Linked DNA regions of Coturnix japonica. The protein of the gene in region 1 purifies or fractionates together with the protein of each later gene. This does not show direct contact. Links are inferred from orthologs where the notes say so. Each region holds a gene or a part of one and is shown on either strand. Other genes may lie near its edges. The genes, in order: DOCK1 and ELMO1.

Region 1 (3,914 bases):
GCACCACAGAAAAGAATATATCAGTACTAAAAGAATCACTGAGGTTGGGAAAGACCCCTAAGATCATCAAGTCCCATGACTGCCTACCCCTAAACTACATCCCTAAGTGCCATGTCCAGGGATAGGGACTCCACCACCTCTCTGGGCAGCCTGTTCCAAAACCCAATTCTTTCTATGAAGAAATTCCTCCTGCTATCCAATCTGAACTTCCCCTGGTGCAGTTTGTGGCCATGCAGGACTTGTCACTAGAAATAACTACTATTTCTGCACTGATTTTCCATTTCACTCCCCTTTTGCTTGCCTTACAAAGAAGTTATAAAGACGACTACAGCAACAGGACGAGTATGCCCATTATCCCAGTTAATTCACTTTGATTTATCTTATGAAAAATAAACCTGTTAAATCAAAGAGCTCTGTTGTAAGTTGTCTTTGGTAAGACTCTCATCATTTACTCATTAATGCAGGATAAAGATGATAAGCCAGGCAGCTGACTTGGAGAATCTTTTGATCTCTTCACTCCAGGACATAATGTGGGAAAGTGCAAAGGTTGGATTTATCACAGCAGCCCTTGAGTTCAGTAGGACAAGAGCAATGAAATTCAGGTTAGTTTGAACTTGCAGGCAGTGACCTGGGCAATGGATCCCAAAGATGGGAAAAGGGAAGGTTTGTAGAATGAGGTGTAGCCTCATTCAGATGTTGGGGATCAAGTATTTGGCTCCAAGCCTGGTGATAACGAGTGCTGTTGTATACAGTGACCCTACATGCCCTGTGATACCAGGAGTTAGTGCAGCATCTCTGGGCGCTGACCAGGCGGGGAACACGGCAGAAACCAAAGTAACCAACACTTCGACGTTGTTTGGAAGAGTTGGGAAGCGGTCCGGTGTGATAAAGAGGAACACGCTGCTTTATACAGAGCCGGTTCTGAGTGGGACCGATGCTTTCCTGCACAGTGAGGCCGGGATACCCTCAGCTCTGGAGCTGCCCGGCTCTCCATAGCGGAGCCGCTGGGTCCCGTCCGGGATGGGATCAGCGCTCTGCACCCCCCCGGTTCTCGGCCACGAAGGCGGGGCCGGCTCCGCCGTGCAGGGGCTGCCCAGTGCCGGCTCCCCCCGGCCGGGCCGTGCCGCTGGCTCCGCCCGCACCACATGACTGCCGTCGGTAGAAACTTTTCCCGTCCCGCGGTTGGAAAATGGCGGCGTAGGAGCGGGGTTCTCGCATCCCCGCCCGCTCCGGCCGCCCCAGCGCCATGACCCGCTGGGTTCCCACCAAAAGGGAGGAGAAATACGGCGTAGGTGAGGACCCTCCCCGCCTCCCCTCGGGCTCCGTGCCCGCCTGTTGCGCTGCGGCGCTCCGCGAACTAAGCGGGGATCCCCCCCACGCTCTGCTCCGGGCCGGGGGCTGCGCTGGGCCCGGCGGGGCCGCAGCTTCCAGGTGGGATCTGCGGGGCGAGAGCGGAGCCCCGGGGCTGCTCCATAGGGCTGCTCCATAGGGCTGCTCCCCAGCGCTTCTATCCCGGCCCTCGGCCGCCCTTCCCGCAGCTGCCGGCCGGTGGAGTTGAGGAGTTAGTGCGGGAGCGCGGCTCAGCCCGTACTCGAGTCGTCCTGGAGCAAAAAGTTCCAGCTTTGTGTGCTTTTTCCTCTCCCCTCACTCCGCCACGAGCACCACTCTCTCTGGCTTAGACGGGTTTCTCTTACCGGCCTCTCCCCGTGCCCCTCGATGTGCTGAGGTTTCCCCGCTGCTGCTGAGGATCCATGTCGCCCTCGGCTGTTTCCGTCCCCTGCACAGAGGAGGATTGTTCTCGGGCTGAGGCCCGGAGGGTGTTTCGTTGGGATTGAAAGTGTTTTGTAGGGATTGAGGAGGAGAAAAGCGGCAGGAGGGAATAACAAACCCGAGTGTTCCGTTGGGAAATAAGAGATGGAGTGTTTGCACTCCAGTGCAGTGTTGCACTGATGCTGAGATCAGTTGTGCATACCCACATTGTGAGCTGGTGTTGCAAAGCTGAGTGCACTGCAGGGCATGCAGCGTGTGTTGCAGGGTGATGCCTCACGCTGGAGGTGCTTTTTAGGGCAATAATATCCTAGAGATGCTTTGCTGTGTGAGAACAAGGCGTTATGGAGGCAGCTGAGTGTGGTGAGATAAAAGCTTTGGGTATCCAGTGTGGGAAGGTGCATTTGTAGAGAGTGAATGTAGGTATAATTAAAAACTAAAGTCTTTGATTTGTTCTGTGGCTTCATAGAGCACAGTTTTGTGTTGGGAGTGTGCTGGAGCAGTAACTCTTGAATGGGCTCAGGGTGCTCAGCAGAGGCTCCTCCTGCAATTCAGAAGTCGTGCAATGGAGAAAACACTGTTAAGGTGAACATCCTAATAAAGGAATGTTGTCTTCTCAACTGTTTGCCACAACCAGTGCTGGAGAATGACAGCAGAACAGTGGTGTATGACAGCAAACCAGCAATGCCTGCGTCCTCCAAGCAGGGCTGCTAATGGAGCTGCCATCCATCTCTGCAGGGCTGAGCTGATGGAGTGTGGGCATTGCACTGAAGAGAAGCAGCAATCAGCAGGAGGGTGTTGTTGGTTGTGGGTTATGCTGCTTACCTTGGGGGAGAGCAGAAGTGTATGTGTCTGTAAAAGCCAAATGTTTATATGTAATGCATATATAGCTTTTTTCCCCCATTAGATTAGCATGTTCCTGTGCACAACTCTTAACTTCTCAAGTCCTAAAGGCTGCTGGTGGCGATGCATGGGGAGTAAATTATGGAGACATTGGATGCAGCTGCTTGAGGAGATGCTCTTTCTGCTCAGCTCCCCCATCCCATCCCACAGTGCTGGGTTCCAGCAGCTCCTTCGTGCCCAGGATTCACGCAGGGAGCAGCACATAAGACTTATCTCTGAGGGCAGCCGTGAGCGTGACTCAGCTCTGCTTCCTGGTGGGGCTGTGAGCGTGGGGAGGCGGGATGAGGAATGGGTGGGGATGGAATAGCATGAGGGATGTATGAGATGAACACACAGGGAGCCTGAAAGAGGAAAATGAACAGCTGAATTGCAGATTTTCTGCACTCCTGATGCCGCTCATCTTTTTCTTTCACCATTGTAGCTCTGTGTTTTTGGCTCTCATCTCATTGTTGGGATGTGGCATGCTTGGGAATGGAGGTAGCTGTGTGGGTGCATGGCTTTCTCAGCAGGACCATCAGGAAGTCCAGGAGCTGTGTGTATCTGCTGCCTATCCCAGTTGGAGCTGTAGAGCTGTATTGAATGCATTACTTCAGGATGGCACCTGATGCCTGGAAGTGCAATGTCAGGTAGTAGGCCAATGGTAATGTTAAGTATATCAAAGATACCAGCATTGCTTGAGTAATTTGCCAATCTCTGACTGTCCATGTAGTGTGGATGCACTTCTGTGGCTCACCTGGTTGCTCTCTGGTTTTCCCCATGTAGACAGGGTAGTGCAGGTGCTTGAGGTGGTGTCTGCAGTTCTCAGTCCTCAACCAGCACCTGATAAGCCCAGGTAAGCAATGTCCTGAGTAAGATTTGTGTTTCCACACGTGCTTTTTGAAAACAAACAACTGTAACAACAACAAACCAACCCAGGAAGGAAACCAATTTTGCTGCAAGCTGCCTCATTTGGGACTTTTTTCCTTGTTACTGGTCAGTTTGGTTTGTTACGACGGGCAAATGATAACCTGCCTAATTTGGGATGCTTTGAAATAGGATGGACTTAGCCAGATTTTCAGGTCAGGATGTTGTAGTGCCAAAAAATATCCAGTATTTGTGGGTTGCTGGTGTGGTGACTGGGGGCATTTATTTTTAGCTGTAGCACCTTGGCTTTTGGCCCTCATTTGAAATATCCTGAGATAAGGGAGGTACCAGCCTCTATTCCAGCCTAATGAAAAGGTGTTGTGACAGTTGTGAGCTTCAGC
Region 2 (3,814 bases), on another chromosome or scaffold:
AAATAAAATTGGAAATAGAAAATGTTTAATAAACAAGTCATTTGTACAAAACCTTATTTCACAAGAACGTGTGAGAAATGTCTGCAGATTGCCAGAACTTGAACAAGTTCGGGACTAGTCCTGCACCAAAATCTGTTTGATGCAAGGAGACACCCTCACTGCTGCCATGGTAGGGGACCTGGTATGACACGAGCGACTGCCTTGCACTTAAGAAAAGGATTTAAAGTCACACTGATATCTGTCTTTACTTTTTAATTTATTATTTTTTAAACACTTCCACCCCCATTTCTGTAATGCAAAAAACCAAGAGGTTTCAAGTTTTTAATGAGGCTTCTCTTGTTACCTTGCTTCCTCTGCCACTGTTAAGGACTAAATCATCTAGAAAAATACCCAGGTTATTTAAAAATGAGGAAAGAGAACTTTATATGTTAAAAAAGAGATGTTGTGCAGTGAAATGATACTGTGAATGTTTGAAGAGCTTCTCCCCCCGCCCCTTCAAACTGTCTGCATTTTCTCAGGGACACGTTTCTATGAGAAGTGAGGTGGCAACTTTTGTCATGTAATTTTTGTTCTCCTATGTTACTACAGTACTTGTTTTAGAGAAGACAGCTCATCAGCTGCTAAGAGCCATGCAGGTGTCTTGGAGACAAAGTTGGTTTTGCTATAGTAATAGGTTTTATGAATTCTTGATGCCCCTGTCATAGTTTTTGGTTCAGTGGACACAAATGATATTCTGGTAACAGCATCTTAACTTCCACATATACGAATCAAGTAACAGCTTTATTGTCTCCAAAAATTGAAGTGAATTTTCAGCTTCTATCTTGAATGCAGAAAAAAAAAAAGAATGCCCTAGCTCATAATTAGTCTGTCCATCTTTTTGCCGGGTATAGCTGCACAGTAACAAAGCTAGTCTGTGCTGTGTAACATGAGTTGTTTCACGTTCCTGGCACTCCCCCTGCAGTTCAGTTGGGCATTTCCATAGAGAATTGATGTGTCTGTATCATTCATTCTTCAGCTGTTATGTGAAGTTGAAACCAGCTTTGCCGGAAAAATAGGCTTAAAAACTATAAGCTGGGATTCTCTTGGTATTGGTCCCTTCTTTCTTCCTCGTTATTCCTCTATTTTGATGTGCTGGCGACTGTGCAGAATGATAATGCATTTTAAGAATGTTCTTAAGCAAGTGTCAACAATTATTTGCTGTGCTGTATTATGTAGGTCTGTGATACACTAACAGATCATTGATTAGACACATGAGGGTAAGGTTTGTTATTAGCTGTTTTACTCATGTAACGAGCAGCATCTAAATAGCAGAGTGCAATACGTTGCCCAAATTATCCAAATTCATTAGATGCATTGATATATGCAACATGTATGCTGGCATGTGTTCACACCCATGTATTCATGGAAAGCATGAAAGTTAAAGACAGGATATGTGCTTGTTAGGCATGATTGAGGAGACCAAGCTCTCATGCTTGATCAGTATAAAATACTCTCTCCTATGCATTTTAGGGTAGCTTGCAGCATGGACAGCCAAGGCCAGATGCCTGAGAGAGAAAGTCAAAACATATCCTGGTTGATAGAAACTTGACTGTTACTTCTAGAAAGAGAAACTAACTGAAGGCAAAACAGTGGACCAGTGCCAACACTGCTACTAACATACAGGGGAGAAGTATTAGTTACCGTGAAAAAACAGTGTTGAGCTGTAATCTAAAAATTAGAGAATGTGGCTTTGAAACAGCCAAAATATTAATATAAATGTGTGTGTTGTTTGATGTCTGGTTTTAAAGGCCTGACTGACAGATTGAAAGGTGCTCATGCTGTGTTGTTGAGGAGTGGGAGTTGTGAGGGAGTTGTGCTTGAACAGGTGTGTGAAGAAGCACTGTTTAACCCACAGAAGTCTCCTCTGAGATCTTATGTTGCTGTTACTGGATCACCAAAGTCTTCAGCTTAATAAACCTTTAACTTTCTTTGTCCCTTTTTCATAGCAAAGTAATCTTGAGTTTGTGGCACCAAAAATAACTCTTACAGTTGTAATTGATAAGCTGCTTCATTTTTCTTACAAGAAACACTGCAGAAACTTAAGACTAAAGCCTTATCAATTGGTATGTTGCTATAGGAATAGCACTAAAATACCTGTTTCTATTTTTCTTTTTTCTAAATCAGGAAATGGCAAACATTTTGGCACAAAAGCAGCTCCGCTCCATTATCCTAACTGTAAGTATGTAATTTTCAGCGTTACTTTTCACTAGCAGAGAGAAAAGCTGGATTGAGCTTTGATGTGCTTATGTTTTATCTTCATTGCTCTTTGCATTTTGATATATTTGGAAGCCTTTAATGTACAAGACAAAGATCTCATTATTGAATGGGTTCAAAACTAGTGATTAGAAAGGGTGTTTTTCAAGCCCAATAAATTCTTATTTCTTCATGACAGTACAATGCAGAATGAAAAAAACAGTATTTCAGGCAATTTCTTCCCATTGAGAATGTGAACTTGGCTGTGAAGTTTAGGGAATGTCTAAAGCATTTATAGTAAGTCCTTTGTGTTAGGTTTTAGACCTGATGAAAACCATGCAAGCCGCATAGGGCTTTACAGTTGCAAAATCAGCTTCTGTGTTTTTAGGTTCTAAAGGTGACTTTGTATCTTGGTATCAAGTTGCACACGATTTGTTGCCACTTGGATAAAGGAAGCGGGATATATAGCCCAGAGTGAAGTTACTGAATGGTCTATAAAGACTTACTTCAACTACCTTTGGAAGTCGTAGGGATTTTGACATCAACCTTAGCATAGATCAGTTCTGCAAAGGAATAATGTATAGTTCTTAAAAAGAGTGAGTTCAGTATCTGTTGTGAGTTAGTGGGCAGTATAAAGCAACACCAAACAGCAACAAACAAACATTTTCCCTTTTTCACTCTCTGTCGTTATTTTAGTGATACATGCAAAAGAAACAGCAACAACAAACTCACACACAAAAAACAGGAAATCTGTTTCCTAAGGCAGCATGTTTTTGCATTGCTTGTGATCATAAGAAATTTGGTAGAAGCATGTGGATAATATTCTTAAGTGTTTGTTTACTGTCATAAGATGCTACTTCAGTAGCCTTTGGCAGATAGTTTTTCTTTCTCTGAAGCTTCAGTGAAATATAGTTTCAACTGTTGTACTCATCTCCTTTTGACTTTCCTTATGTCTTCCCTGCTGTGTTTAGTAACCTGGGCCTGTTTCGCCTGTAGCTATTTGGTTTTAGGCACAACAGGGATTTTTAAACTATCCACTAGTTGGTAACTGCTTTGTGAATGGGGTAGTTCTGTATTGTATATGTAAGGTACTGTACACTAACACATTTCTAAGCCATATCCCTCATGTAGATCACAGTTGTGAAATGAAAATACCGGAGTCCAGCTAATGTGATTTTCTGATACAGTGGCATTCACTGCAGTCTTTCTTTCTTTTACAGCATGTTATCAGGGCACAGAGGGCCATCAATAATGAAATGGCGCATCAACTTTACGTTCTCCAAGTACTTACTTTTAACCTTCTGGAAGACAGAATGATGACAAAAATGGATCCACAGGATCAGGTAAGTGTCTGACATGATCTTATTAGAACAGGAAGAAGTCAGCTACTCACTGCTGTGCCTGAAGTTCTTTAGGGAAGAAAAGACACTGCCAGGAATGCCTGCACAATCTCTCTCTCTCTTTCAAGATGTGATGTTCGGTTTTGTTTTCTGTATGTCAAAAGATGAACTGGCTATTGTATTCCATGTACAGAAGTACAGCAAAATGGCCAGGCCTTTCTCTTTTTTATGTTGTTTCATGA

Evidence for each region.
Region 2: the proteins of DOCK1 (region 1) and ELMO1 purify together in Homo sapiens (affinity purification with western blotting; 12 studies listed by BioGRID and IntAct, counting the BioPlex papers as one, with this or other methods). This does not show direct contact. The link is inferred for Coturnix japonica from reciprocal best matches to the Homo sapiens genes DOCK1 and ELMO1.

What each region holds. Positions count from the first base shown.
Region 1 is NC_029521.1:29,236,712-29,240,625, forward strand, and holds the start of DOCK1 (dedicator of cytokinesis protein 1), read left to right. Parts: upstream 1-1,130; 5' UTR 1,131-1,246; coding exon 1,247-1,292; intron 1,293-3,914. UniProt on the Homo sapiens protein: Involved in cytoskeletal rearrangements required for phagocytosis of apoptotic cells and cell motility. Along with DOCK1, mediates CRK/CRKL regulation of epithelial and endothelial cell spreading and migration on type IV collagen.
Region 2 is NC_029517.1:42,475,965-42,479,778, forward strand, and holds part of ELMO1 (engulfment and cell motility protein 1), read left to right. Parts: intron 1-2,163; coding exon 2,164-2,214; intron 2,215-3,452; coding exon 3,453-3,575; intron 3,576-3,814. UniProt on the Homo sapiens protein: Involved in cytoskeletal rearrangements required for phagocytosis of apoptotic cells and cell motility. Acts in association with DOCK1 and CRK. Was initially proposed to be required in complex with DOCK1 to activate Rac Rho small GTPases.